4 linked regions of the Caenorhabditis elegans genome follow. The protein of the gene in region 2 purifies or fractionates together with the protein of the main gene of each other region. This does not show direct contact. Each region holds a gene or a part of one and is shown on either strand. Other genes may lie near its edges.

Region 1 (10,261 bases), on a different chromosome or scaffold from region 2:
GCTGACAATGCGCAATTTTCCACAAAATTGACCGTTTGAAACAACAATTTGATAGTTTGGCCATTTCGGGTCCAAAAAATCGCCAAAATCTCATTTTTTTGGCGGGATTAATCCGGATTAATCGCAAAAAAATTGAATTTAAAAAAAAATCTAAAATTGAATTAAATTCCAAAAAAAAAAACCAAAAAAAAAAGGTGATTTTTTTTCAATTTCTGTAAATTTCATCCAAAATGACAACTCCGCGACTCGCCCTGCCCACTATCGACGCTGATTGGTTGAAAAGTGGGCGGCGCGAGTCGCTGATTGGTCGCGGTTCTCATTTTGGATGGAATTTATCCAAAATCGCGAGGATTTTTCAGTTTTTGTGTTTTTTTTTTTGGGATTTTCAATGCAAAATTAGGCTTAAAATAAATTAAAATGTTCAAAAATTTTGAAAATTAAACTGAAAAATCACATTAAAAAAACGAAAATGGATTTAAATATTCAAAAAAAGACGATAATTTTGGGAAAATTTGATATTTTAAGAACAATTTGGTAGTTTTGGCCATTTCAGATCAAAAAAAAAAACGCCAAAATCTCACTTTTTGGCGGGATTCAACGCAACAACTGCACCAGCTTGTACAGCTTCAACAGGTACTGCTCCACTTTCAACAGCCGCAGCCAAATCTTCCCGAATCAATGGATTTATCACAGGTTCTTTAACTCGTTGCGGACTATTCGGAACCATTGACGGAGGTGATCGTTCTCTACGCCGACGATCTCCACCGCTTCGGCTTCGACGACGAGGTGGTGGTGATCGAGACCGCCGACGACGACGTTCACGATCTCTATCTCGAGGAGATCGAGAACGGGAACGAGAGGATCGGCGTTCACGATCTCGTTCACGTGAACGATCCTTCTTCTTTCGATCCTTCTTGCGGTCACGATCACGAGAACGTGATCGGTCCCTTTTTCGATCAGACACCGATTCCGAACGAGATGGCGATTCTGAAATATGGGGAAATTCAGAGTATTTAATTTTATTGAGTTTTTTCCATGTTTTTCTGCATTTTTTACAATTTTTTTTTGCAACTTTTCGACAAAGAAAGCCTTCAAAATCGCCAAAAAATAGCGAAAATGTGACTTTTTTTAAACTTTCGCTGTTATATCGAAAAATCCATTAATTTTTCTAATTTTTCGACTCAAAAAATGACGAAAATACAAGAATATTGTATTTTTCCACCTTTTTTGACATAAAATACAAAAATGATAGATTACTAGGTTTTTTACTCAAAATTGTCTAAAACGATGGAATGGGGAAAAATTGCCGAAATTTTCAAAAAAATACGACTTTTTCTGATTTTTCGATTAAAAAAACAAAAATAGTGCATTTTCAAGTTTCAAGACTCAAAAAACGTCGAAAAATTTTAAAAAATATAGATTTTTTGTTATTTTTCGATACAAAAAATGTACAAAATTTCCATTTTCGACACAAAAACTCACTATTATCACCAGACGACATGGAGGAAATTGTTGGCACAACAAGTGCTGGTGGTGGAGCTGCTGTTGCACTGGGGGCAGCTCCCAAATCTTCGCCAGCTTCGTTGCCCCATTTCCGGATGAATGGCATTGGCTCCGTGTTTCCACCAGTTTTCGACATCTGTAGGGTGGTTGATTTTGAGAGGGAAATACAAAGAAAAATAGAGAAATAATAGCGATTTGAGAGACGCTGAACGAAAATTGGAAAAAAAAAGGAAAATAAATTAAAACAATTCTTTTTGAAAATAAAACATATAAATTTTAAAATTCAATAAATTAAGTCTCCATAGCCTGCGGAAGCGGCTCCTGAATCTCGGCTCCCGGAACAACTGCCTTCTGGGCCAATTTTTCGGCGGCAATCCGTTTTTCCGGCTCAATTTCCCCGCTTTCCACGATTTTCACAACCATCTGAGGTTTGCCAGACGGAGTTCCTTGCTGTTCGACTTGTCGTACAATATTCATTCCTTCAACAACATGACCGAACACTACGTGTTTTCCGTCAAGCCAATCGGTTTTCTCGGTGCAAATGAAGAATTGTGAGCCATTTGTGTTCGCACCGCAGTTCGCCATTGAAACTGTGCCGGGCATTGTGTGGCGGAGCTGGAAATTTTCAGATTTTTAGAGCTTTTAGGTGAAAAAATGCTTAAAATACGGAATTTTAGATGCAAAATCGGTCTAAAACAGACAATTTTCAAATTTGGAGCGGTTTTTGAAAGAGAATGGAAAAACAATTTGGAATTTAAGATCAAAAATCGGATAAAAAAGGAAAATTCTCGAATTTTCAGCGGTTTGTGATGGAAAATTCGAGCTTTTGAGTGAAAATTGGCTAGTAATTGTTGCAATTTTGGTTAAAAACGGAAAATTTCGGAATTTTAAGAGTTTTTAGGTGGAAAATATGGGTTTTTAATGCAAAAACTGATAAAAATGCATTCAAATCCGAAATTTTAAGTGCAAAATCGGTCTCAAACGGACAATTTTCGACTCTGGATAAAGAATGGCAAAAATTTTAGATTAAAAAAGGAAAATTTTGACTTTTCTGCGGTTTTGGATGGAGAGTTTTTGAGTCAAAATTGGCTTAAAATAGTTGCAATTTTGAAATTTTTCCTATGTTTGCACCAATACTCAGAAAATTACAATTTAAGTGTTAGTTGACACAGGAATTCCAATTTTTTTAAACTCTGGGGCACGTGAAAATTTTTAAAAAACTAGTTAAAAAAAAAAAAAAAAAGTTAATTTCCCAATTTAAAAACATTTATTTCGAACATTTGAACTTCAAAAAACCGATAACTCATCGATTTTTCAACACAATCGGCGTCAAAATGAAAGTTCTTGTAGTTTTCCTTATCGGTGGGTTTTTTATTTCGTAATTTTCAGATTTTTTATTGATATTTTCAGCTCTAACAATTCAAATTTCAAGTCATCCCGCCAATTTCACATTTGTACCGGATGTATTGCTCTCTCCACCAGGTATAAATACGGGTTTTTTGGCGAATATGTTGGGGGAAATTCGATGCAATCTGCACGTACTCGGCACACAATTTTATAATTTTTTCTTCTAATGTTGAAAAGAAAAACGTGGGATTTTTTCGGGGAAAGAATGACAAAAATAAGCAAATTTTGTGCAAAACGTGGGTATAGTTTGACAACAGTTTTCGGAGACAACGGAGATTCGGCAATTTCTTATAAGAAAGTTGTTTTTTTTTCGGAATACAATTAATAAGAAGTAAACGAAAAATGGCTCAAAACTGAGCAAAACTGGCGTGACGGTGTACGATTTGATGACATTTGTTCAAAATTTGTGAAAAAAAAAATTGATGACAAAAATAAGAAAATTTTCTGCAAAACGTGACCATTTTGAACACGGCACAGAGCGGCTTTTACTACGTGGCCTAGAAAAATCAAAACTCGGCCAATGATTTATCTGGGATTATAGTTCCACCGTGGCGATTTTTGAGAAAATGTTCCGAACCCATGTTATGAAGGCCACCGAGTTTTCTTATTTTACGGCCACGTAGTAAAAACCGCTCTGTGACGGGGCGGCAAAAGCTACGTCCATAAAAGGGCGCTCTACTGTACAATGAGTATAACACCTCTGGGTTCTTTTTTTGGTACAATAAAAACTGGAAAGATCAGCTCTGTGGATTTTGAGCCACAAATATCCGTGTTTCAGTTTCCAACCGTTTCTAAATTAAATTCTTGAAAAATTTCAAAAATTTCAGCACCGTACTTCCCATCAAAATACATCGACCGTATCTCGACAGTTGCTCAACTTCCAAAAGGAATTCAATTTCAAGCTGGATTAATGAATGAGACTATTGCAATTGATGGAATTTTGAATAGCTATAGAAATTCTGATATTTCCAATTTCAAATCTGAAAATATTCTCAAATTGATTGATGATCTGAAGGCTACATCAATGGGATCTGAGCAAGAAGTATTGAAAGTGGAGAGCCAACTAATCAAGTATAATACGTTCATTGATGAATTGAAATTTGATGGAAATACTTTGGAACTACATGGAAAATATAAGTTTTTTGACACTCTTCGTGACTTAGCTATAGATGTCAAGGATTCCACTGACAATGGGCATCGTTTCATAGTCGACATGCTTGAATACATCGGCGAAATGCTGCAGTGGCTTGAAGAGGGCTTGAATGTGCCGTTCAATATTACCGAGCGTACAATGAGTCCTCAATTTTTGTTGGAAAAATTAGGTAGTATAATGCTCAAAGTCTCGAGCGTACGACATGTTGAATACCTTGAAGGAATGAACAAATCAATAGAATCGACGTTTAAGCCACTACGAGAAATGTTCAAGTTGATGAATGATCGAAATGAGATTCATATGTTAGAAACAGATGAGAAAGGAGATATTTTGAGCAGTAGCATCTTACAAATGGTCAAGCTTTCGAAGAAGAGAAACGATTCTGAGGAAGACGTCCAAAGAGTGACAAAGCTCAAAAATGATGCACAAAGAGAATTTCCACGAGTCGATTCTAAACGGCTCGGAGATCCTTGGCTGGGAAGAATTCTGAGAGCTAACAGAACATTGTTGAACCAACTGGCAGATAGCTTTAAGCCTCTACAAATTGCCCATAAAATGCTTGAAAAGTTTGATGAGGAGTTGGCAGCTATCTCTGGAAACTCTCTGATTTCTGATGGGTTTGAACACTTGAAGAATCTACTTTCATCAGTTCCACTTGACATTGAAAACTCTGCAGATGTACTGAAGAAGCTTGAAGCATGCTATCGTTTGCATCCGGCTGTGTCTCCCGATAAAGTTTATGTCGAATTTTTGCGTAACGTTACCTTGTTTTCGAATTACCTGGATAATGTTATCGATCGTTTCACATTTGAGAAAAAGTTTAACAAATTCCTGGACTCTAACTCTCTCCAACTATTAAAAAACAATCAAAGTTTTGTTAATGAAACACTGAAACGTTTTCTAGAAACTAAAAGTGTCCCGAAATTCCTGATCACAGTAAATGAACTCAGAGACCGCATCAAAGCAATCGACTATAAAGAGATTTTCATTTTTCAAAATTTGAGTAAAGCTATTGAAGAAAAACTGAAAAGCCAAGAATTCAAGGACAAGATATCTTCCGAATTGGAAGTTCACAATTGCTTGAAAAAGTTGAAAAACAACTCGGAAGCTGTTATCCGTATGGTTCCATTGATTCAAGCGTTTATGAGAGCAGATTTGCAAAATGTTCAACAGATTGCTCCATTGGTATCCAAATTTTCACACGAACTCTCTACAGTGAAAACAATTCCAGAGAAAATGAGAGAAGTTGCGAGTCCGGTGACATTGAGAATGAATGAGATGTCGCAGATGTTGAATCAAACCGATGAAATTGGCATATCTCAGAGTGTAGTTCAAAGTGTCTATAGTCTAGTGGACTTGGAGCCACTGATTAGTCAGGTCAAGGGACATGAAGATATTTCTTCCTTAGAGACAGCAATAAGTCAAGCAAAAGCTTATATTTCAAGAATTGATGTGTGGAGAGCTAAATCATTGAAAGGATACACTAATCCGCTCAAGAACTTGACAGCCGAAATTCCGGACATTGATATTATCCCAATTGAAAAGGCCCTCAGAGCCATGGATCCGGCGAGCCCTTTTCTTGAGAAGATTGCAGCGTTGGATTTTATTTTATCAAAGCACAATACAATTTTGCAATGGGCCCCATTCAAATTTGGAGTTCTTCAGGAATTTCTAGAGGTACTGTAAATTTGGTTATCGATCCTTGAATTTTGCAAAAAAATTTGTCGCACAGAAAGTGGGGCGGAGCGTAGCTTCACAACACTGCCGCATGAGGTATTTCCCCGCAATATAATTTCAATTTTACTTGTATTTTTCTCGATTTTTCGAATGAAAATGTTATCCAATTCGAAAAGAAGAGAAAAATTTTGCGTAGCTCCGTCCCACTTTCTGTGCAACAAAATTTTTTGCAAATTTTAAGGATCGATAAATAAATTTTGGTAGTAGTGTCATGATATAAAATAGAGAACAATTTCAGATCGTTCTTCTTCTGAAACGAGATGCATTTGAATAGAACTATTGATTTTTTTTTTGCCAAAAATCAATAAATTTTTTATCTCGTTTCGTTATTTTTTCAAAAATTTCGCATATTTTGGCACATTTTCTACAGAAAATTTGATGTTTAGCACGAATTATTGGCATAATTACCAAATAACGTTGTGAAAATGCGATTTTTTACAGTATTTTTTCTAGTATACCGCTCATCAAAATTTGTGCCTAACCGTGAAATTCTCATCATCAAATTTCGTTCCATAGATCGACTTCCCGCCGGTTCCGTCTCCTTTCGTAAAGTCACCGCCTTGAAGCATAAATTTTGGAATAATCCGATGAAATATCGATCCTTCATAACCGAATCCTCGTTCTCCTGTGCACAAACATCTGAAGTTTTCGGCAGTTTTCGGTGTAACGTCAGTTCTTAACTCGATCACTATTCGTCCAATATATCGAATTCCAATCTTCACTCCCAGATAGACACGTGGAAGCTTCGTCGAGGCTGACGACGATGACGTGGCGGCTTTTTCAGCGTCTCCGTCTTCTTCCGCAGCAGCTTCTCCACCTCTTCCATACTTTTTGAGCCATTCGTCGTCTGCCCAGACAGGTTTCTGTGAGCGTTCGGTGGCTTTTGGTGGACGAGCAAAGTTGACACTGAAAATAGCAATTTTAAAATTATAAAAAATGTTTTTTTCACAGGTTTTATTGAAAAACTTGTAAAAATATCTTTAAAAAAATATGAAAAATCACAAAGATTAAACCTGAAAACTAGGAAAATTTTGAAAACAAAATTAAAATTAAATCTTAATTTTAAAAGATGCTCCGAAATAACATGCGCGTGCGTTATTTCGGAGCATCGTTGCTACGTTTAAAATTGAAAATTAATTTAAATTTCCTGGTGTCAAACTACGAAAAACTGCGATTTGCGCTGGAGTTTCACTTTACGTAGTAGACTACGCAAGAATTCCACTTTATTTAGGACTATTTTCTTGGTTTCCAGAGCCAATCCCTAACCGAATAGTCTTTCCGAACAGCTCGCTCTCGTTCATATTATCAATCGCCATCGCCGCATCCTCAGCCATATCGAATTCGACGAATCCGAAGCCACGATGCTTTCCCGACTCGTAATCCATCGGAATCGAGATGGCAACGACGTCTCCAAACGGAATGAACGCGGCCATCAACACTTTTTCAGTGACATCCTCGGTGAAACCTCCGACGTAGAGCGTTCTTTTCCGATTGTGTGGAAAATTCGTGTTCATCTGGGATTTCTGAGCAGTTTGCAGGTGGATTTGTAGAAAATTAAATGAATAGGTAAAAAAGATGGCTGAACAGAACCATTTTTTGGCGAAAAAACTACAAAAAGAAGGAAATAAAAATGGTTTTTTTTGCAATAAAAAAGAGAGAGATAGAGAAAAAAGAGCAGAATTATTGGAATTATATGAGATAAGATACAGAAGAAAAAAGGTAAAAAAAAAAGAACAAGAGAGATTAATATCGTCTTCGATCACGGCTTCGACTGCGGCGTCTTCCACCGCCTCCACCTCCATATCCGTAGCCTCCACCGCCACCGCCACCTCCATATCCACGACCTCCGCCGCCTCCACCCCATCCTCCACGATCACGATCTCTGCCGCCACCGCCGCCACCCCATCCTCCACCGCTTCCATAGCCACCGCCGCCACCACCTCCACCGCCGCCTCCGGAACCTCCACGTTGTGATGGATAATGTCCAGCTGCGTCGGCTCGTCGTCCACGTCTACCATACAGACGATCTCCAAGTTCGGCGGAAATTGCCTTCAAGTGCATGAAATTGCAGAATCCTCCTTTCGAGCAGGTTGTAACTTCGTGTTGACGGCATCTAGACTCGCGGAAGTCGGTGACAGGGCACAACTCTGCGTAGATTGGTTGTCCGTTGAACCTGAAAGCGAAAAATATTTTAAAAATCGATAATTTTACAGAAAATTTTCATAATTTTTGCATTTAGCATAAAAATTTCCAGCTAAATCAGGAAAAAGACGGAAAAATCACGATTTCTGGACAAAAAATATACTTTTTTGCCCCAGAATTTGTGTTTTTTCATCATTTTCGCTGATTCTTGGTGCAAATTTCCAGCTAATTTAGCAAAAAAACATGGAAAATCAAGATTTCTGGGCAAAAAATAAAAATTTTGAGCCGCTCCGCTCACCATCTGCGTCGCGGTCCATTTTACAGAGGTGGCCGAGAGGGAACCTCGGCCATGACCGCGACGCAACTGGCATGCGGAGCGGCTCAAAAAAATTTATATTTTGCCCCAGATTTAGTGATTTTTCCATCATTTTTGCAGTTGACATGAAAAAAGATGGAAAATCACGATTTCTGGTCAAAAAATTAAATGTTTTGAGCCGCCCCGCTCGCCAGCTGCGTCGCGGTCCATTTTAACGAAATGGCCGACGGGAGCGGCTCAGAATTTGTGATTTCTCATCATTTTCGCAGATTTCTTGCACAAATTTCCAGCTAAATTAGCAAAAATGATACGGGCTAGCTCGCCAAAGTGCTCAGATGGCCCCTGTGCCAGGTATATCTCCATTTCAATGCCCTTCCGATGGGCAAAGTACAGTGGCACGTTCTCTTCACAGCACTTGAGCTCAGCTTGAGCCCTATCAACACAGCAGCTTCAGCTTACGCACCATCGATTATTCAAATCATTCTTTGCTTTCTCGGCGTCCTCTTCCTTCATAAATTTGACGTATACGTTTCCGACCATGTGTTCTCCGATATTCTCACAAACGTTGATCTCCTCCACTTCTCCATATTTTCGCTCCATCTCCACAAAAACCTCCTCGTAGAAATCGTCAAAATAGCGCTGTTCCTGATCATTCCGCTTGCCGACTTTATCGAAAGCATCCGCCTGACGGACATCCACTACCGGATTGTGGTAGAAGTTTTTGAGCACAACTGTTGGCGAGAATGTCGGTGTATGATGGGCTCTGGAGCATTTGTCTCCGTGGCGGCAGGCTCCTGTCTGCAAAAATTATTTAATTATTGAATTTTTTCACAGAAATCCACAACAAACCTTGAAGAAAAACGAGCAATTGACTTTATCCTTCTCAGTACCATAGATTGAGGCCAGGTACTCGGCTCCGGAGAGCCCGTCACCATACGACATTGGGATTCACTAAAAAAAATGATTTTTGACGAAAAATTCAATTTCAGCGGGAAAACCCTGAGAATTACGATTTTTAAACACAAATTCTGACGGAAATACTTCAGAATACAACGTAAAACTCAAAATATCAAGAATTCAATGCAAAAAACAAACTGCGAACCTGAAACAGATAGAAAATGGAAATAATAACCAACTGCCCTGCTAAATTCGAAAACGCAACGAGGCACGCTTTTGTGGGCGGGGCGAGCGTCGGCAAGGTGAGCGCGCGCGTTTTTCTAGCGTTTTCTCTATTTTTCTTTTTTTCTCCCATGACCAGAGATTAATAAATAAGTTGAAATTTAAGTGAATTTCTCTTCAATTTTCCGCGATTATACCGATTAATTCATGCACCAAGGCTGAAAGAACATTTAAAAATCAATTGGAGCTCAAAATTATTTGGAGAAAACTCAAGAATACGAGATTTTTCACTCTAAAACTAAAATTTGTTCTTAAAATGCAAAGTTTTAAATGAAAAAAAAAACATTGATTTTTTTAAATATATAAAAAAGGGGTTTTTGATTCCTTTAAAATTCTCTGCGTCTCTTGCATCTCTCGCCGCGCGCTCTCGGGGACCACTCCTCTTTTGGGGCACGCAAAAATCGATAAGCTTTCGGCGGCGCTTGGCCTCTTTCTTATTTCTTCTTATTTCTCAGTTCCTGAATCCAAATTTACAGAAATTTCGGCGCATTTTCTCTTTTTGTTGCGAAATTCGCATTTTTAGCGTTTTTAATCGAAAAACCCCCAATTGACAAATCCGTGGGAAGTTTACATAGAAATTTCCAGCTAAATTAGGGAAAAATCACGAATTTTAGCCAAAAAATTACATTTTATTGAGCCGCCTCGCTCGCCGGCCGCGCCGCGCCGCGGCCAATTTTTACAGAAATGGCCGAGAGGGAACCTAGGCCACGGCCACGACCGCGACGCAGCTGGCGAGCGGAGCGGCTCAAAAAAATCTATTGTTTGCCCAAAAACATGTGTTTTTTCATCATTTTCGCTGATTCTTCGCATAAATTTCCAGTTAA
Region 2 (7,269 bases):
GTCAATCTATTTTTTGGTATGTCAATCTATTTTTTGGTATGTCAATCTATTTTTTGGTATATCAATCTATTTTTTGGTATGTCAATCTATTTTTTGGTATGTCAATCTATTTTTTGGTATGTCAATCTATTTTTTGGTATGTCAATCTATTTTTTGGTATGTCAATCTATTTTTTGGTATGTCAATCTATTTTTTGGTATGTCAATCTATTTTTTGGTATGTCAATCTATTTTTTGGTATGTCAATCTATTTTTTGGTATGTCAATCTATTTTTTGGTATATCAATCTATTTTTTGGTATGTCAATCTATTTTTTGGTATGTCAATCTATTTTTTGGTATATCAATCTATTTTTTGGTATATCAATCTATTTTTTGGTATGTCAATCTATTTTTTGGTATGCCAATCTATTTTTTGGTATGTCAATCTATTTTTTGGTATGTCAATCTATTTTTTGGTATGTCAATCTATTTTTTGGTATGTCAATCTATTTTTTGGTATGTCAATCTATTTTTTGGTATGTCAATCTATTTTTTGGTATGTCAATCTATTTTTTGGTATGTCAATCTATTTTTTGGTATGTCAATCTATTTTTTGGTATGTCAATCTATTTTTTGGTATATCAATCTATTTTTTGGTATGTCAATCTATTTTTTTGGGCGATTGTCAATGGAGCGGCCAGAACCCCGTGGGACATCATAAATCAATGTACAGATAATGTGTGATGTGTCCATCAGGAACCTCGCAGTATTGTTATTACGGGAACACAAAATTCTAAGAATGCGGATAGCGCAACATATTTGACGCGCAAAATATCTCGTAGCGAAAACTACAGTAATTCTTTTAAAGACTACTGTACGGTTTGTGTCGATTTACGCGCTCGATTTTCGGAATGTTTTATAATTTCTTTTTGAATATCGATAGCGATTTATAATTTTCCTCCGTTTCTTGTATTATTTCGTCATTTTTCGCTAAATTTTAATATTCAATCCATAAATAATAATTTTACTAATTCATGCCAAGAATCGAGATCCCGTAAATCGACACAGTGCTACAGTAATCATTTAAAGAATTACTGTAGTTTTCGCTACGAGACATTTTGCGCGTCAGATGTGTTGTGCAATACGCATTCTCAGAATTTAGTGTTCCCGTAATAGTATGCATCAGAGGTAAGCCGCAAAATTTTTTTCCGGCAAATCGTCAAATTCCCGGAATTGAAAAATTCAAATTTCCCAAATTGGTCAGTCTTATAAAAAACCCTGAAAACTTCCAGCAAATGGGTGTTGGGCAAATCGGCAAATTGACGGAATTGAAAATTTCCAAATTTTTTATTGTTTTCTTAGCTTTGTGTGTTCCATTAAAAAAAGGATAAAGGTAAATAAAAACCTTATTTCGTTTCAATCAATATTTCACAAAAATCAAATAAGAAATTGAATAGTTAGTGTGAGCTACTTGGCTCTCTTCTTCGGTGGTCCACCCTTCTTTGCTCCCTTCTTCGCCTTCTCAGCTTCCTCCGCCTTTCGTTTTGTCGCAGCTGTCACACATGTAACCTTGGTCGAGTTTCCGAAGAACGAGTCAATTCGTCCTTGTGTTCCAGATTTACGGCTAGTCTTCAGTTTTGCCAACGCGTTTCGGATGCGCTCCTCACTGGAAATGAAAGAAAAATTAGATGAAGTTCATGAGGTTCATGGGGACAAACTTGAAGTTCTTCTCTCCGCACAAGAACTGAATGACACCTTCGACATCGGCTTCCTTCCATGTCAGTTCAACTTCTTCCGGTTTTGTCACTTCTGGATTGAGGAAAAGCTCACGAGCACGCTTGTATGGCCAATCCTCTGGTGGTGGGTATTTCTGGAATTTTTTTTAGAAATTAGATATATTATAGATCCGCAGAAAAATCCAATTTGAAATCGATGTGTTAACGCGCTCCACTGCTAATTCAAAAGGCTCCGCTTTCGAGCCAAAAGTGTTGTTTAAAAAATTCCGATTTTTCGGTTTTTTTCTAGAAGGAAAGTGAAATTTTTCGATTTTTTTTAAGAGAAAAAAGAAAATTTTCCATTTTTCGGTTTTTTCTAGTAGGAAATTGAAATTTTTCGATTTTTTTAGACAAAACTGAAAATTTCCGCTTTTTTTTGTCAGTTTTTTCACAAAAAACATTGAAAACTTTCGATTTATTTTTTTTCAATTTTTCGAGTTTTTTTCAGAGAAAAAATCGAAAAACGAACAAATTCATAATTTTTTCAATAATAAATCTTTAGGAGAAACAATATAGCTTTTTTTAAAGTTTGATGAGAAAAATAAAATAATTTTTCTCCAATAAATTGAAAAATGACAGGAAAATATTGGAAATTCGATTTTTTTTTTCTCGAAAAATTACGCTTGCACGCATAATGGGCCTCGTTAGCTATTTGGCGGCAAAACCGTAAGTTCAAAATTTGCTAATTTTTTATTGAATTTTTCGGCTTTTTTAGTTGTTTCCATTGATTTTCATGCCAAAATTAATTTAAAAAAAAAGGCAAAACTAAGTGAAAAATTCGAATTTATGATTTCACCGGCAAGTACCTAACGAGACCCATGGTTCGGGGCATTTATTTGCCGTGGAGCGCGTTTATAATAAAATAGGCATTTTACGAACGACGAACATTTTGATCGATATTCTCAAGAATCGTCTCAATATTCTTGTGCTGTCTGATCAGCTCAACAGCCTTCTTAGGCCCGACGCCTCGAATAGTTCCACAATAGTCACAGCCGAGAAGAATACACAAATCAATAAATTCCTCAACGCTTAGCTTCATTTCTTCGAGAGCCAAAGAAAGATTGAACTCCTTGATCGGGATTTTCTTGGCGACTGGAGCCAGGAAATGTCTGAGAAGAACCGTGGAGCCGAAGGTCAGCGCGTCCATATCCTCAGTGACAGTTCCGAATACTTTTCCAGCTTTCACGAGATGAGCACACTGAGCTTCTGCCTCGCATGGAGCCTCGACAACTGGAATTCCCATTAATCCCAGCAAACGCTTCGCCTCGTCGTTCTGTTGTTTTGTGACTTTTACGAGTCTTCTCTCGAACTTCTCCGCTTCCTTAACATCTCCCTTCTCCTTGGCCTCAGTCAGCGCTTTTTCTGCTTCAGCACGACGCTCGGAACGTTTTTCAAGCTCTCCACCCTTCATATCCGGTGGTTTTCCGTCGAAAACGTAGACAGGCTTCACTCCGTTCTCGAACATTCGAACCGTACGATTCAGCATTCCCATCAAGTGACTTGTGGTTTCTCCATCTTCACTTTGAAGCTGGGAACCATCTTGACGAACAGCAATGAGGAATTGGTAGAGGCACATTGATGCGTCGATTGCTACCTGAAAAAAAAACATTTTTTTTTGTTTTTTTGCTTGTAAAGACTCAAAACTCGTCGAAATTTAAGACATTTACCCGGAAATTTCTTCAAAATGTTCAAAATTATGTAAAAATGAGCCAATTTTAGAGCTGAAAATCTTCAAATTTTTCTGATTTATCGCGTCGAACCGATAAATCATTAATCAACAAAATAGCAGGAGATAAACGACTAAAATATTTTAAAATATGAAAATCAGACTGCGGCGCACAGAAAAGTAGACGAAATTGGAGATTTTCGCTTTAAAAAATTATTTTTTCGAATTTTTGAACCTTCAATTTTGCAAATCTAAGGAAAAAATTCCCGTACTGTTCTTCCGAAGAACGCCTTCATCTCGTTGACTTTAATCGCGGAGGGAGCATTATCAGCAATCACTTGGGAGAGTCCTTTAATTCCCATAGCGGTGTGGGGTTAGTCCTTGTGAATTTATATCTGAAATATTCTGAAATTGGGAAGTTTGTGGATTTTTGAGTGGAAAACGGGGGTAGGAAACGAATTACAGCGAATTTCGAAAAAAAAACACGATTTTCCTTTTTGTTCTCCAATTAAATAGGGTTTTTTAGGTTTTACCGAACGATATCAGTCAAATTCATGAAATTTCACCGAATTTATACGGATTTCGCCGCACTTTCCTGACGTAAAAAACGAAAAACCCCCGATATTCTCCAAGATTTCGAGAAAATAAGATGAGTATGAGATTGCGAAACGATAAATTAACAATTCTAATATATTTTTCGTTTAAAATTGATTAAAAACAATAAAATATTTGCTTAAAATTGTGTTTCTCACTATAAAAAACCCCAAGAAAGGATAAAAAATATCGGAGCTGCGTTCAATTTGGCGGGAAAACGGTGCGTTCAATTAGTTGTCCATGGAGCGCGATTGCGTAATCATTATTTGGACACTTTTTTCCTTGAAAAAACCGATTTTCTGAACCAATTGGTTAAATCTGAAGCTAATAACGAATAAAAGGGTTAAATTTAAGGGAAAATCAATAAATAAATTCATATATTTAACAATGATATTCAAAAATTGAGAGAAAAACAACAAAAACAACAAAAAAAGTGTCCGGAGATTCTTTAAATATCATCGGCATCCAAATTATCATCGCTACCGCCGTCCCCATATCCTTCTCCATTATCAAAGTAAGCCGAGATGTAATCGTTATCCTCCTCCTGATTGTCATCATCTGATAATGGATTCTCCTCCTCTTCTGCCGCGGATTTTTCACTGCCAGAGTCTTTCTGAAATTAAGATATGATTTTTTTCCAATTATTTTCATTAAAATGTAGTGATTTATCTGAAAATAGCTCCTATTTTAGTTGAAACAATTGAAAAACCACTCAAAAATCGTCTGAAAATTAGAAATTTCCAACTTTCGAACATTTTTTGAGCAGTTTTCCAAATGTTTCAACTAAAATTAAATTTTATTTTCAGAAATAAAGGGACGAGAAAACTCTAGATTCATCAAAAGATATGCCAATTTTGATGAGAAAATATTTTTTTTTTGCAATTCATGAGGAATAACCCGAAATTATTGAAAATTTGATTATTTTTCTCGAAAAAACGAAAAATTTCGATTTTTAGTTTTCTCGTCATTTTCCGTGCATTTCTTCTACTTATTTACTTCGATTTTTCTGAAAATTATTTTTCGATTTTTTCTGAAAAAAAAGTGCTAAAAAATGCCCTGTCCCATATAAAATGTCAAAAATCTGAAATTAAAATATCTATTACATCATTATCAGCCTTCTCATCGTCATCATCATCATCCTTATTCTGTGCTTCTTTTTCTTCCAATTTTTTCAACTTCTCCTTGATCATCGAATCGTCATTGGCGACTTTTCGTCGTTTTGCCAAAGATTCCTTGGATTTCGAGCTAGCTCGGCGCCAAATGAGCTCATTCGGCATATGGGACATATCTAAAATGGATTTTATGAATTTGAAAAGGTTAAAAAATCGCCTTAAATTCAGAAAAAGCGCTACAGAAAATAGAAAAATTCAATCTTTTTTTGGCTAATTTCCTCGAACTCTCCGACCAATCAGCATCTTCCAACTCCGCCCATTCCATCTGATTGGTTGAAAAATGGGCGGAGCAAATCGCTGATTGGCCGCTCTTCTCATTTAGCCAAAAAGTTGAATTTTCAAATTTTTTTTTTGTTTTTTCTGAAATTGAGACACAATTTCACCTAGATTTCCGTACCAATGCTAAGCTTTTCCCTCTTAATATTCGAATATTTATCCAAATAACGCTTAATTTCGTCGTCTTTCTCTGCTTCAATAAAGAACTGTGAATCACGCATTCGTTGATCAAGTTCAACTTTTAAACGGGATACGTAGAGCATGTCAGTCGTCATTTCAAGTGGAACGGGGTCATGTTGCACTTTCTGAAAAATACAAATTTCATTAAAATACTGATTTTCAAAGATTTCAAGTAAATTTAGGACTAGTTCAGTTGAAGAATTGGCTTCTTTTTTTTTGGATTCTGGAAGGAATTCGAAAAAACGAGAAATTTCTGCTAAAACTACGGTACCCGGTCTCGACACGACAAACTTGTTAAATGCAAAAAGGTGTGCGCCTTTAAAGAGTACTGTAATTTCAAACTTTTTACGCAATTTTCATATATTTTTCTTAGTTTTTCGATAAAAATATATTTATTAACAAACTGAAATATTAGAGTAATAAAAACAATAAAATGTTTACAAATCGAGAGAAAAAAATCGATAAAAATTCCGCAGAAACGAAAGTTTGAAGCTACAGTAATCTTTAAAGGCGCACACCTTTTCTGAACTAATAAAAAATTGCCGTGTCGAGACCAGACACTTTGACACTTTGACGGAAAAGTCGCAAAATTGGGTGATAAAATTATGGTTTTTTATTCAATTTTTCCAGATTTTTTTTCAAAAAATTTCAAATTCTTATTCCGGTGCTCCACAGCCCGTACCGGATACAACTGTGGCGGCTCATTCTTCTGCTGTGACATCATTTTCGCCATATCGTATCGAGCGATTCCCAACGCGTTGGCGACACTACGCATAGTGTTCGAAGATCCGCCACCACGTCCTCTTCCGCTCATCTGGAATTTCAAAAGGTTTTTAATCATTTTGAAGCGTGCGCCTTTAAGCCCCGGTTACTGTAGACTGGTCTAGCTCCATTACAGTAACCCAGTTTGTCTTAAAATTCCCAAAATAGTTTTATATTCAGAGAAACCACAACAAAATCGTTTTTTTTTTCATTTTGGCAAAATTTCCAATTTTAATTCCTTCCAAAATGAGAATCAGCGTCTTCGAACTCCGCCCACTCCGTTTGATTGGTTGAAAAATGGGCGGAGCAAATCGCTGATTGGTCGCAGTGCTCATTTTGGAGGAAATTAATTAGCCAAAAATGAAAAATCGAGTTTTTAAAAGTTGGATTTTTTCAGTTTCCGTTTGTGGCTTTTTTCTGAAGTCTATTTTGAATTTTTTTGAATTTTTAGGTATTTTTCTCAGAAATATTGATTATTCATATAAATCTCTGGTATTTTTTATATTCCACACAATTTTCGAATTTTATTTCGTGAAATGTGGTTTTTCAGTTTTTGAATTTTTTTACCCAGAAAATCTTGATTGATTTCTCAGCAAAAAAGCTCAAAGTCTTTAATATTCTAAATTAAATCCAAAAAGCTTATTTTTTAATCTAAAAAAATCGGATTTTGGTTTTATATCGATTATTTTAAACTTTTTTTCATTTTTCCAAAAAAAAAATTTTGTTTTTGGAAATTTGGTTTTTTTCCGATCAAAAAACATCAAATTTCCCCCAATTTCTTTTTTTTTGAAAATTTTGATTTTTTTTGAATAAAAGTATAATTTTAAAAAAAGTATAGAAGCAATAAAAATGCGGTAAAACTTT
Region 3 (6,578 bases), 970 kb from region 2:
TGATGAAAACAATTTCAAAAGTAAAGTATGAGTACAAGAGAGGATCAACAGAGCAGCTAGCTAGTGAACTCGATCAATTGGATTGCTCGTCTAATTAATTATTTGAAAATGTCTTTAAATCTCATCAAAAATTGCTCGCATTTAGCTATCACAATTACAAAAATTTTAAATCACAAAATTTTGGTTTTTTTAAAAAATTTTTATCAACTTTATGGCCATCATTCTTGTAATATGAAACCCGCTAGATAAGTGTATATATTTTTTAACTTCCTAAAGCGAACTTGACACATTTTATACATTTATCTCATCTCACATCTCTTTTTTATTTTTTCCAGAAATTGATCGGTAGTTTTATAAAATTGTTGCGTAACATTCCCCTTGATCCATAATAAAGGTTTATTCTTTGTTTCTTAAGTTTCCGGCTTTGCAGAAGTTGCTCTTTTCAAATTATTATTTTTGCCGCCAATGCAACTGCGCTCCCTTGGACTAATGCAAAAAGCAGAAGCAGCGGCTCTTCACTGTCAATTTAAAATATTATAGCTTTAATTTAAATGTATAACGCTCGGTTTTTATATATTTTTAGAATAATAATAATTCTAATGTATCTGTTAATCGTTCAAATTAATCGCTCGTCCCGTTTCGCCTTCCGTAAATCTCTAAAAGTGTCTTTTTCAGGAAAATGATGAGTTTATCATCTTTAAATAATGAGAATCTGAACGATGAAATTATCGATTTTGAGTCGAAATGCAAAAGATTCCCGGTAATGTTCAAACGAGCTGTTTGCATTCATTCTTCACTTCAATTCGTTGATCTATTCATGCAAAACCTCATGTTCTCGTGAGTTTTCTTTTCGTAATATATTCAACATCAATTTTTTTTTCAATTCAGACACGGTTTCTCCTCCACGCCAATAATTGCACGTCAGGAAGATGAAACTGAAGTTTTATCGAAAACTATGCTTTCTTTTTATAAGGTAAGATTTTATTCCTATATATATTTTTTAACATTTAATTTTGCAGATCCGCAACGAATTTCGCGAAATATTTCGTTCCCATCATCGAGGCAACGTTTCGGAAGTGGCCATTTTCATTGGCACCTGCCCCGTCCGATCTACATACTCTTATCGTATGTTATCGAAAAAATTCTTAATTCTAAGTTTTTTAGAAATATAAATCTTGTGTTTCAGGCGTTCCAATAACGATATGTGAAGCCGAAGACTCGACGCACAAGAGCTGTGGTGATACGTGTGCCGAATTAAACGACTTTGAACGAAGAAAAATCAATCGAGATCTGTTCATGCATAGTTGCTCGAAGGAGCAACAGAGCAATGAAACGAACAAAACGAATAAGAATCATCGGCTTTTTGTCTTTATCAAAGGATCCGAGGATATGGTCAACGAGGAAATTGAAGAGGAGTTAGTTCACGAATTCCCACCGAATTTTTTTTTCTTATTTTTCTTTTTCAGAGACCCTCCATTCGGCTCAAAGCAATCGTTCCACTACTCATTCATCCACGAAAAATGCAATTGCGATGGGGTTCCAGCACCAAGAAATGATGGAAAATGGCTCAGAATGGTGCCATACATTGTGCACTCTAAGCATTAATTCTAACCTATTATATTTTGAAAATTAAATTTTGAATTATTTTGTAATTTGATCTCGTTGTGTTCATCATCTCTCTGTCTCATTTGTGATCAACAGCTTTCCAATAAATTCCCGGGGTCAATTTATGTTCTCGTCCAATCAGGTTCATTTCCCGAATTATTATATTTCCTTTTTTTGGAGAAATTCTAGAAAATTAGTGAAACAGGAGTATATATATTTGCAGATGCTTCACAAAATTCTGTTTCTAATTTGTCTTGCATCATTTATTCCGACAATTGGATCCATTTCCGGAACGTAGGTTTCAGAAAATAGCCCTCAAAAGCCGAATTTCATAACGAGAAACTTCGAAAAAAAAAATTAATTATGGTGGTTAATTTCAGCCAAAACCTCAAATTTCTCCAACTTTCCCGTGTTGCAACGGTCAGAAATTGATTTTTCTTTGATTTGTATATAATTTTGCTTGTTTTTCTTAATTTTCTCACATTATTTTGTGGATTTAAGTGGTTTTAAAGCTTATATCAAACCAAATAACGGGAGAAATTTAAAAAAAAACGATAATAAAAAAATCGATTACCGATCGCTGCGATTCGGAAAAATAGCAAAATTGGAGGTTTTACCTGAAATTATGCTTTTTTTTTGAAATTTTGTTAAAAATGAAATAAATTTAGTTTCTTTTTTTTTCAGAAAAGACGTTAAATCCAAGAATTGTGATGGATCTGCAGGCCTTACGTGCACATTTCCCGGTGATTGCCGAATCGGAGACACTGTAAAAGTGAATTGTACTTCACGGAAAGGTTGCCCGAATCCTGTCAGCAGAAATAATGTCGAAGCGGTGTGTCGGTTTTGTTGGCAACTTCTACCTGGGGATTATGATTGCGAGCCAGCGACAAATTGCTCCACGAGTAGTACAAAGCTTCTCGTGACAAAGTGCTCGGTGAGCAATTTCTTTAATTTAATATCTGTTTTAAAATACCTAATTTTCAAAAAAAAATTGAATTTTCAGGCTCACAGCTCAGTAATATGTATGGGACAACGTAATTTCTACAAGCGAATTCCATGTAACTGGTCATCTGGATACAGTTGGACAAAAACAATGATTCTCTCAGTTGTGCTCGGCGGTTTTGGAGCTGATCGTTTCTACTTGGGACTCTGGAAATCTGCAATTGGAAAACTTTTCAGTTTCGGTGGTCTTGGTGTGTGGACTCTTGTGGACGTTGTTCTGATCGCAGTTGGATACATTAAACCTTACGATGGATCCATGTATATTTGATTTTTTTTTTAATTTTCTTTTCCAATTTGTGTAAATACTTCCTGTAATAAGCTTAAGCTTCGGGTGATTTCTGATACTCTTGTTATTCTCCTTATTTTCGTCTTTTTGAAATTGCCATTTTTCCATTAAAAGTAATAAATATTTCTACAAAATTCGATTGTAAACTGTTTGAATATGAAGTAGATTATTACTCAAAAATATCTTTTTTACATGAATTTTCAGTTTTTCTATTTTTCTTTTCCAAATTTTCCAATTTTAATTTCCAGCCGAAATATGATCGGCAAGGTGGCTGGAACCGCGGCAATCGCTGGAATATCTTTCCTCGCTGGAAAATATTCGAATGACGATCTGCCAATCTTCAGGAATGTTCAATCAGCCACCAATGTTCCAATGGTTTAATAAAAATCTTCTAGAATCCTGAAAAATGCCGCTTTTGCAGAATCAAATCCAAGTTTCGGAGCCAATGACCGTAAAACCAGCATCTCTAAATGCTGATGCAATGGGACCATCTCGTTCGGCAGAGATCATGAAGCACGGATATCCCGGATTCACAAATGTTCGAACTTATGAGGATTTCGTGCTTTCCTACGATTATAAGACAAGAACTGCACACTGGGTTAGTAGAAAATTATGAGAAAATATATTTCAAAAATCTATACCGGACGCCAAGTTTTAGCGCCAAAAATACGGTACCCAGCAGGGCTACTGCAAAAATAAATCTTCCACCAAAAAAAAATTTGTTTCATTTTTGCTGAATCAGTGTTGTAATTTATTTTTTGGTTTTTTGTCCCGAAAAAACCAAAAATTTTTTTTTTCCAAAAACAAAGGCAGCTTTGGTCTCGACATGCCTTTTGTTTTTGTATAAAACAAATGGGTGTGCGCCTTTAAAAAGTACTGTCATTTCAAACTATCATAATTTTTATTTTTAGTATTTTATTTTAAAAAATATTTATTTATTTAAAAAAACACATTAATTTTAACAATCGTGAAAAAAAACTATAAAAATCAATGAATATTCCACAACAACGAAACTTTGAACCTACCGTACTATTTAAAGGTGCACACCTTTCTACATTAAAAAATTGTCGTGTCGAGACCGGTTTTAATAAAAAATTGAATTTCCAGGTCTGCGAACATCTTACACCAGAACGATTAAAACACGCAGAAGGTGTGGATCGGAAGCTTTGTGAATTCAAGCCAGATATCACTTTCCCGCAGAAATTCCTTTCTCAAAATACGGATTATAAGGTTAGTTCTTCGTAATTATTACATAAAAAATATTTCTGAACCATCCAATGTTTCAGTGCAGTGGATTCGATCGTGGACATCTCGCCGCCGCTGGAAATCATCGGAAGAGTCAGTTGGCGGTCGATCAAACTTTTTATTTGAGCAATATGAGCCCACAAGTTGGACGAGGATTCAATCGCGATAAGTGGAATGATTTGGAAATGCACTGCAGGTTGGTAAAATAAATAAAGTTTTTTGCCGGGAAAAAAACGCGAAAAATGTGAAATAATTTTTTTTCTCGTCGACGAAGTTTTTCGCAAAAACACGTAACTCTAAAGAATTTTGTTTTTTGAAAAATTAATACAATTTGAAACTTTTGGAAAATTTTTTTGAGAAAAAAAAACGAAAAATCTACAGCCCAGTCTGAAACCAGCTGGTACCAAGATTTTTCTTTACAATACTAAAAATAATTTTCTACAATTTCCAGAAGAGTCGCAAAAAAGATGATCAACTCCTACATAATCACCGGTCCCCTCTACCTTCCAAAACTTGAAGGAGATGGAAAAAAGTATATCAAGTATCAAGTTATCGGTGATAATAACGTTGCAGTGCCAACTCATTTCTTCAAAGTTGCTCTTTTCGAAGTGACACCCGGCAAATTCGAGCTGGAATCCTATATTTTGCCAAACGCAGTCATCGAGGATACTGTAGAAATTTCCAAGTTCCATGTTCCATTGGATGCTGTGGAGAGAAGTGCGGGTCTTGAGATTTTCGCTCGTTTGGACCCTAAGAGCATTGTGAAAGAGAACGGAGCAAAGAAGGGAGGATTACTTTGGTGATTGATTGGATTGTGATTCCGGTGAATTTTAGGTTTAGGTTGTTTTGTTTTTGTTTCACAAATAAATTTTTTGTTAACTTTTTTGATTTACTGATTGAAAAAACTTGAAAACTCAATTAAAAAGAACAATACCAATAGAAATTTTAAAATCTTAACTTACTATTAGTCAACAACAAAAATTCATCCGAAATAGGGGAAGGTGGAAAAGGATACCAGAAAGGAATTTCATACGGCAAAAAAATTTGGATGAAAAACAATATCCCTATATTGAAAGTGAGACATTATTTTATGTCACTAGTTTTATGTAATATGAAATTCCTTTCACCGAGAGAAAAATATTTTAGAAAAGAAAAAGTAAATTAAAGGGAACAGGGAGGAAACAAAAACACGAGTATATTTGGGAATCTTAACGAGTCGATGAGACAGAGCTCAAAGTTCTGTCTTTTGTTCCGGCGACTTTCTCCTCAGCAACAGCTTCAGCGATGAACATTTTCGTGATATTTTCGCTGGTCACAGTCTTCGAGAAGTCAGCGAGAGCGTTGGTGTCAAAACTGGCGAGAAGCTCATCCAAAAGTCCATTTCTTGTTTGGAGTTGTGGAGCCTTGATTCTCTTGATGTCATCCATTGGAATTGTTGGATCACCACGGGCCACACGTGATTCGTTCTCCTGTTGCTGAAATTGGAAAAATATAAATTTTTAATGATAGAGATTTTTTTTTCGAAAATCGTGAATGGCACCTTTATTCCACCGAAAATGTACCCCTCACATCCGGTTTTATAGTTAGTGGAGCCTCGATATGTTGGAAAATGGTTTTCAAAAAACAAGACTTTAGGTTTGAAAGCCGTTACACTTCGGAATATAAATTTTAGCGATACAATCAGGATATTTTTAATTTCAAAATTCGAAATTCTTACTCTTTTCTGCGTCAGACTGAACACCATATTATCATGTCTTTGCTTGTCAATAGTGTACTTCGTCAACGACTGAATTGACTTGTTCAGCTCATCAACATTAGCCATCATAGCTCGGACCGACTTTTCAAGCGACTTCTTGGATCCCAAATCGAAGTGTCTCGTGGAGTACTTGTCAGAAGAGCATGATTTAGCGAGTGAAAGCTCAGACATGAGAACATTGTTGAGATATGAGGATTTGATGATGATTGGCAACTCCTCGAACATGTTCTGGTATGTCAAACCAGCGGCTTTCACCCTGAAAAGATATGTCTTTGCAAATATATTTTTAAACTCAAAAACCATACAATTCTGGTCTCCAGTCATTCTTTGAAGCGAGATCAAGAGCAGCGGTGGAAAGACGCCAGGCTCTTAGAGAAAGCTGTCCTTGGCGAGTCTTGATTGGATCTGAAAGCAATTAGAATTAATTATTTATCCTCATTAATCTGTCTAACCATAAATAAGAACAACATTTTCTGGGCCCATAGCCTGGTAATCGAACATAGATTCTACGAGATCGTGTGAGAAACCGGCTCCGAATTGATGAGACTGATAGAATCCAACGATTTCGTAATCGATATTCATTGTACGGAATTTGCGGAGCATGTCAAGCATCTCGTGTTGCTTTTGCTCTTCGTATTGTTGAGCGGCCTATAATAGAAAATATATTGGAATCACTAGCATGAG
Region 4 (7,087 bases), on a different chromosome or scaffold from region 2:
TTTATTTACTGTTTGTTTGCTGGTTTTTGAGAAAAATACACAATTATTTTTTAACCAGAATTTTTCTGAAACGTGTGAGTTTGTTTTTTACTGGGTGTGTATCAAAATTTAGCATAAATTCTGAAATTTTTTTGGTAATTTTAATTTCTCTGTTATTGTAAACTAGCTCAAACATATTGATTCTTATTTAATTGGTTCTGAAAATTTAGAAAAATGTGGATTTAATTTTAAGAACTAACTAGACTAAATGAAGATTCATTATTTTTTTTATGTAGATCTAAATTTGTTTGTTTCATTTTTCGAATGTTAGTTCTAATTGGTATATGCATACTTTTTTTTTCTTTTTTTTTACATTCCAGAAATTCAAATCCCTGCTTAATTGTATTTTTTTGTAGGTAATATGTCGTCACCAACTCCAAAACATGAACCACAAGAGAATGACAGTTCTCTTCCGGATGAATCGATGGAAGTAGATGGACCGGAAGACTTATCCGTGAAGAAAGAAGTCCAGGAAGCAGTAAAAACGGAAGAAGCTGGTAGTTCACCAAAAGCGACAACTACAACTGACGGCGAGGTTCCTGAGAAAGATTCCGCCGATGAGAATGCCGAGAAAAATCAAGTTGACTCAATGGAAAACCCTAAAACTGAAGAAGGCATTGTGACTGCTGATGAGAAAGTTGACAGTTCTGATGATAACAAAAATGCTCAAAAAACGGATGGAGAGAAGTCACAGGTTGCTGAAGATGTGGCGGATGCAGAGGTGACTGAGAAAATTGGGTCTGGAGTAAATGATGAACTGGAAAACGTCGAAGAGGCTGAAAAGGAAGTGAAAAAGGAAGGTGATGACGAGGAAAGTGGAGCTCAAGATCCTGCTGTGATTCAGTTGAGAAAAGAAATTGCGGTAAGTGTTCACAAATGTTTAAATAAAATTTTAATACATTTTGAGTAGTGAAATGTCATGTATTACCATAATAATTATTAATTAAATGTCTAAAAAACCAAATTGAAAAGAAAATATTCTGGAAAAATTGTAATAATACGTAGTTTAAATTCTTTAAGTTCAACTAAAATTTCCAATTTCTTAAATTTTTAACCGTAGTGAAAATTGCTACCTTTTCCTAAGGTCTCATTACGGAATTAGTTAATCTTAAGTATTTTAGAGTAGACGCGGAATTTCTGAAGTTTTTTAAAGAATACTTTATGACCTACTTTCTGTTTCGTTCTGTGTAATTTTTCTCATTTTTGAAAACTTTCAGGCAGCCATCAACACTTACCAAAAACAGTTTGACGATCTCAATCTTACTCAGCGAATCGCCCAACCAGGTATCTCGGAATACACGCAAATGGTTATCACAAAAAAGTTGAACGCCAGTACAGCTCATATTGATGGTTATAAAGGGAAAATTGCAATGGCCAACACTGTCGAGCAGCTACAGGTGGGAGTTTGCATTAATTGAGATTTGTAATAAACTAAATAAAAAACTTGTGCCTTTTCAGAATCTGTTGACAGAAATCAACCAGCAAATCCGTCGTGCCCGTCAATCCGCAGAAATCAATGCAATGCTAGGACCCCCATTTTGAAATATTCCATGTGATAGATCTCAATTTTGTTTTGAACACGTTTTTTAAAAAATGTTTCTGAAAATGTTCCCGATTATTCTTTCTTCAAGCGTGAACGATTTTTGTTTACGTACCCCAATGACCGTTTTGTATTTACAACATTTTTTGAACTTTATCAATTTTGACTTTGCAATAAAATCTTATGTCTTTTGGCTATTTATTTTAGTAGAAAAAATTAGGAAAATCTTCAGAAATCATCCGTCAATTGTTCGGCAATTTTCACCGGCAATTTTCAACATTCGGAAAATTTTTGAACACTTTCTCGGTTGTTTGAAGTTAATTAGAAGTTATTTTCAAGTAAAGAAAATATTTTTCTATATTGTATCATTAAATTTTTATGAAAAGTATCGGTGGAACATGCCCAACCGTCTCAACTTGTAGAATTTGGCAAAACTCTGGAAGACTTTCAGAGTCAGTCCTTACTTTTTCTTTACTTTTTTTTTACTTTTTATTTTCTTTTTATTTTCTTTTCACTCTTTACTAGCTGGTTTGTCAATAAAATTCTAGACTCATCAACTGTATATTTTCCCGCCCCAAAAAAGTTGGCGTTCCCATCTTGAGGCGATTGCGTAATAGAAATCAAAATAACAATGCGTTCGAGAGCATACTGAGAGAGAGCGGAGACGTAGAGAAAGAGAGACACAGTGAGGAGGGACGGTTTCAGCGTTGATGAGTCATTTGGCCTTTTTGATGAGATTTGACCCCCGCCAAAAAAGTGTGTGACCTCCGCTCACTTGCTGCCTGTGTCTCGATGCCGCGCGTTGCGACGTCGTTGCGCATCCATTTTTAGTTTCATAATCTTGCATGCTCTCTTTCGCAACAACGTTTTCCAATTTCCGATTAAGTTTTTTTTCTAACTTTTGATATTAGTGCTAAATAGATACTGAATCTAACTACTGCGTTGACTTTCTTGTTTCTCTCTTCTCGTTTTCCACAAACAGCTCAAATGTTTAAGAATTGTCGTCAGTACTTTATGTTTCTAAGCCTTAGTAATCCGAACATATATTCAAAGTTTGCCGTTCGCTTTCTGCGTCTCGTTCTCTCTCGTTAACACTGTCCGCATTGGCCACCTATCACTTGGACCGTCGTTTGCAATTATTGATTTTCCAGATTGCGATTCTAAGCCAAATTCAATTTTGCATCTCTCTTTTCTTTATACTCTTTCTGTATCTTTTCTTGCCAATAATCTACATTTTTCAGGTCACCGCTCTCTGTACACAATACAGGATGGCTTACCAACACTGTCCGTTTGATACTTTATTGGTAGGTTCAGCTCAAAATTGTGTGCATCTAAAATATCAATTTCAATTTCAGATTCTCGACTTTGAGACAACATCCGATGCTGCTAATCAAGATTACCCGTGCGAAGTCATTCAGTTCGCGATCGTTGCCTATGATGTCCCAAATGATAAAATTGTGAGAAATTTTGCCGTTTAAAAATATTTAATAATAGTTAATTTTCAGCGTGAGGACATTAGTTTCAACAAGTACGTCAAACCTGTTCTCAATCGGACTTTGACAAAGAACTGTGTCGATTTTACCGGTACGTTTTTATAGTTTGGTTATTTTTATAAATATACATAATACAATAAAGTTTTCAGGAATCCCGCAACGTTCCATTGACACCGCCGACACCTTTGATGTGGTCTACGAGCAGTTCCAGCAGTGGCTCATCACGCTTGGATTGGAAGAAGGAAAGTTCGCTTTCGTCTGTGACAGTCGTCAGGATTTGTGGCGTATTGCTCAGTATCAGATGAAACTGTCCAATATCCAAATGCCAGCTTTCTTCCGTCAGTACATCAATTTGTACAAGATTTTCACGAATGAGATGGATCGAATGGGCCCCAAAGAGCTTTCTGCGACGGTGAGTTCAATTGCAAATAGTTTTTAAAAAAATGTATGATATAAATAATCTTTTCAGACCAACATCGGCAAGATGAACGAATACTACGATCTGCCAACCATCGGACGTGCTCATGATGCCATGGATGACTGTCTGAATATTGCTACTATTCTCCAGCGAATGATTAACATGGGCGCAAAAGTTACTGTGAACGAGCTGCTGACCTGTTGTGCTTCGGTAAGTTTCGATCAATGTTGAAGATCATCTTACAGCCTTTTTATTATCTTCAACTAATATTATGCCAGTGCCCACACTGACCAATCCAAAATTAGATAAAGACCTAGTAGTCCCGCACTGGCTTTTTGAAAAACTAACCGAACATTGTAGATCAATTTGTAAAAGCGTCAATTTTTAGGGAAAAATCACATTAATGCGTGTAGAGCCGATGAAGAAAAATGAATAATTTTCAAAGGATTTTTATACTAAAACAAACTAGTATTGTAGTCTCTGTAAATTTTGCACCCCTAGGTGAATTAAAGACGGAGCACCGAAACTTGACACTATTTTTTCACCCAAAACGGCCTAAAACAACAGGCTTTTTGTAACGAGACGTGCAGAATTTTTTTTCAAAAACATACTTATTTTAGGCTAAAATCACAAATTTTGCCAGATTTAAGCCTCATTTTTATCAAATTATCATGCTTCAATATATATTCTCGTAATTTATTACTCGTTTGTTAGTTGATTTAAATTCATGCTCGGTTGATGGGAACACAAAACTGTATCATATTCGTGTCCCCATAGACCGAAAATGTATTTAAATCAACTAATTAACTTGCAACAAATTACGAAAATATTTAACAAAAAGTGATAATCAAATAAAAAATTCCTTCTGCAAGTTGTGGCTTTGTCAATTTGTCCTTATTTGAGCTCTTCGGTGAAAATAAATAATTTCCCTCCACTCAAAAGTATTAACCTGTAGTTTTGGCCATTTTGCGTCCAAAAAGCGAATTCTCCGATTTTGGTGCTCCCACTTCAAAAATTAGTCTGACGTTAAAAATATCAAAACCACTGTTTTCGAAACTGGTGTATAATTTTATTTTCCTTACAGTGGCGCAGACAACCGCTGGTCTACAACAAAGAATGGAGAAGCAGCTTCATGGACGCTGGAAAGATTTTCGAAAGAGTCCTGCCACTTGTCGTGACTACAATTCGCGCAGGCGACTTTCGTCTCGAGATGTACGGAGTCTGCCGCTATTGCCGCAAAGGAATGGATGTGTGTGGAACAAGTCATCAGCAGACACCACATGATCTCTACAAAAATGAGGAGGATCCTATCCACTTTGCCAAAATTGCCGGTTACTACTAGAATCCGTGAACATCATCAATTTAATACCAAGTTTTTTTTTTCAAATCGCATCTCTTCATTACTTGTCCTTGTACTTGTTACTTGTGATAAGGAATTTTTTCCAAGCTCTCCGTGTACTCTGAAACGAGTTTTTATTCAGATTTTTACGGTATTTGCCCATCACGGGTTTTCTCATGTCATTACGTTTTTTGACTTTTGAATTATCACAAATTTTTATATTAATATAAACTCTTAATTATCAATTCTTCAGAAACTGATTTAAAAAAGTGTATAAATAGACGTGCCAAATATTGCCAGAAAAGCGTCGTCAACTCCGTATTGTCTTTCACCACATTCCAGTATCTTCTTACACTTTTAAAATGAGACGAAAATGTGGTTTTTTTTAATATATCTATTCTCTATTTTTGCAAAACTTTTTTAAAAATAGATGTTTCTGTCCCTTTCTATTTAACAGTTGCTATTGATAATCCGATTTATTTGATTTTCTCGAATGATAAGAAATTAAAACAATTTTGAAACTTTTTCTGCCGACTGTTGCTCCTGCTTGCATGCTGACCCGCTCTGTGTTTGTACAAGTCATTTAGCGAGCCCACGGCAAAGATATATATTTTTTGTTAGCTCATTCACCCCCTGCAAAAAAAGCTTATCTGTTGATTTTTGAAAACTAACTGTCTGCACTTTGTGAAGTAAGAATGGCTTGTGACTCAGTTTTATTTGAAAGTTTGAAATTTTTTCTGGATTTTTTTTAAATTAACAAACTATTTGAGAACTAGTGTTTCTAATATATTGCTCATAGCATATCCTATACCTTTTACTAAAATTTTTTGAAGCTCTCGAGTTTAGAATCTGTTTGCTAATTCAAAGATGGAGTAGCACCAGCGGTGCCGAAATGAACAAAATAGCTTTTTTTCAGAAGTATGTGACAGTGCAAAAGTTTTCCCAAAACTTGGAAAAATTCAGTGATTGCAGCTTTTTGAAAAAAAAACTTTAAAAGCTGTTTTGAAAAGTTTTACTCTACATGAGTCTATCACACTTTTTTCCACATTTTAAAATAATATTCCGACTCCAGTTCCCTAGGGCTTCACAAGTACATTGTAAGCTGTAAATAAGCACAATTTTTTTATTATTCAAATAAAATTTTTATTAAGTTTTTATTTTTTTTATTTCACACTGTCAAGTGTGTAGATTAATCGGCAATTTGTTCATCACTTTTTCATCTACTCGTGAGCTTTGAACATCGAGTTTCAAGTTACAAGTTTGTTTCTGCTTCTGTTTCTGCACTAGAGCTTGTCACAAACTTTTCTTGTTTTTTGTTTTCTTCACACCAACCAAATTAAATGGATTTCTCATTATTTCGCATGCCATCACTTTTCCCTTATTTTCTGCTTGCCCGTGTTGCAATAAACCTGCAATGCAATTCTTCGTGCAACTTTTGCTCTCGCTTGACCTTGGTATTAGTTATCTGTGAATAGTAAATATATGAATTATGAATTATGAAACGTGACAATTGAACGTGTTAATTATCACGTTTCAGAGGGAAAAATGGCCAGCAAGTCGGTCAGTGTATCTCTTCATTGTTTACTCAATTAAAAAAAAAGAAACAGAGTGCGAGTTCTTTACTCTCAAAGTCTAAAAGCTAACATCCGGAATAAAAAAGAAGAAAGAAGAGCAGTTTAACACAACAATTTCCCACAAGTTTCCTTTTTCTCCGTCTAGCTTCTTAAACATGAGAGGATGTTTCTTGACCACCAAAAACTTTTTTCACCACAACGCCCGCCACCACCCACCTTCATGCAAATCATGGCGGAAGCCTCGTCTTTTGATTTCCTTTTCATTTGGGTCCGCATTTACGAGAAAGATATCATTCCCTGAATCATTCATTCAGACTGCTTCCTCATTTTTTTCTCCTTTCAAGGTTTAATTTTCTAAATGTGCTGCTTTGTGTGTCTACTTTTCTTGATTTCACCCTTAAAGCCAAATCCATTCTTGTAAAGTTTGATCAAAGCAGACATTACCCCCATTGTATAAATTATGTATATACTGGTAGAGTGCAATTCTAGACATTCACCAGACATGCTGGGGCAACTCTCACCCTTAAAAATTAGATTCCTTTGATCTCTTATTCAATGGATACCTAACACAACACAACTCGTTTATATATTCAACAAATAAAAACTCCTATGGGCCAAGTTATCAATTTGATGTGTTTCCTTGTTTGTAATATTTCCTGGTAGAATTTTAGAATTCAGTGAAAC

What was found.
Region 1: the proteins of crn-1 (region 2) and cyn-13 purify together in Caenorhabditis elegans (affinity purification with western blotting; one study listed by BioGRID). This does not show direct contact.
Region 3: the proteins of crn-1 (region 2) and cps-6 purify together in Caenorhabditis elegans (affinity purification with western blotting; 2 studies listed by BioGRID). This does not show direct contact.
Region 4: the proteins of crn-1 (region 2) and crn-4 purify together in Caenorhabditis elegans (affinity purification with western blotting; one study listed by BioGRID). This does not show direct contact.

The regions. Positions count from the first base shown.
Region 1 is NC_003282.8:17,109,344-17,119,604, forward strand, and holds cyn-13 (Peptidyl-prolyl cis-trans isomerase E), read right to left. Parts: upstream 7,315-10,261; coding exon 7,067-7,314; intron 6,707-7,066; coding exon 6,283-6,706; intron 6,124-6,282; exon of another isoform or gene 6,075-6,123; coding exon of another isoform or gene 6,039-6,074; intron 5,741-6,038; coding exon of another isoform or gene 3,738-5,740; intron 2,986-3,737; coding exon of another isoform or gene 2,914-2,985; intron 2,866-2,913; coding exon of another isoform or gene 2,838-2,865; exon of another isoform or gene 2,770-2,837; intron 2,119-2,769; coding exon 1,795-2,118; 3' UTR 1,738-1,794; downstream 1-1,737. Other genes in the region: sfa-1 (Branchpoint-bridging protein), read right to left, coding at 582-987, 1,483-1,639; Y116A8C.33 (uncharacterized protein), read left to right, coding at 2,838-2,865, 2,914-2,985, 3,738-5,740, 6,039-6,074; uaf-2 (Splicing factor U2AF 35 kDa subunit), read right to left, coding at 7,544-7,973, 8,722-9,056, 9,108-9,200.
Region 2 is NC_003279.8:3,478,544-3,485,812, reverse strand, and holds crn-1 (Flap endonuclease 1), read right to left. Parts: upstream 3,817-7,269; 5' UTR 3,784-3,816; coding exon 3,694-3,783; intron 3,350-3,693; coding exon 2,642-3,349; intron 1,851-2,641; coding exon 1,699-1,850; intron 1,647-1,698; coding exon 1,448-1,646; 3' UTR 1,313-1,447; downstream 1-1,312. Other genes in the region: Y47G6A.9 (DNA-directed RNA polymerase III subunit), read right to left, coding at 4,464-4,628, 5,119-5,303, 5,585-5,768, 6,326-6,457. UniProt on the Caenorhabditis elegans protein: Structure-specific nuclease with 5'-flap endonuclease and 5'-3' exonuclease activities involved in DNA replication and repair.
Region 3 is NC_003279.8:4,445,025-4,451,602, reverse strand, and holds cps-6 (Endonuclease G, mitochondrial), read left to right. Parts: upstream 1-3,141; 5' UTR 3,142-3,148; coding exon 3,149-3,268; intron 3,269-3,314; coding exon 3,315-3,491; intron 3,492-4,000; coding exon 4,001-4,123; intron 4,124-4,179; coding exon 4,180-4,334; intron 4,335-4,589; coding exon 4,590-4,941; 3' UTR 4,942-5,017; downstream 5,018-6,578. Other genes in the region: eri-7 (Enhanced RNAI (RNA interference)), read left to right, coding at 1-98; Protein cmt-1, read left to right, coding at 680-837, 889-973, 1,020-1,125, 1,187-1,415, 1,467-1,605; TM2 domain-containing protein C41D11.9, read left to right, coding at 1,829-1,899, 2,290-2,539, 2,609-2,875; eif-3.H (Eukaryotic translation initiation factor 3 subunit H), read right to left, coding at 5,347-5,613, 5,856-6,150, 6,200-6,299, 6,347-6,542. UniProt on the Caenorhabditis elegans protein: Endonuclease important for programmed cell death; it mediates apoptotic DNA fragmentation.
Region 4 is NC_003284.9:2,253,835-2,260,921, reverse strand, and holds crn-4 (3'-5' exonuclease crn-4), read left to right. Parts: upstream 1-2,820; 5' UTR 2,821-2,847; coding exon 2,848-2,883; intron 2,884-2,934; coding exon 2,935-3,036; intron 3,037-3,084; coding exon 3,085-3,163; intron 3,164-3,221; coding exon 3,222-3,484; intron 3,485-3,541; coding exon 3,542-3,700; intron 3,701-4,574; coding exon 4,575-4,832; 3' UTR 4,833-5,074; downstream 5,075-7,087. Other genes in the region: AH9.3 (uncharacterized protein), read left to right, coding at 401-901, 1,257-1,436, 1,498-1,581. UniProt on the Caenorhabditis elegans protein: Possesses 3'->5' exoribonuclease activity in digestion of DNA and RNA. Cleaves nucleic acid substrates with efficiencies in the following order: single-stranded RNA (ssRNA) > double-stranded DNA (dsDNA) > single-stranded DNA (ssDNA).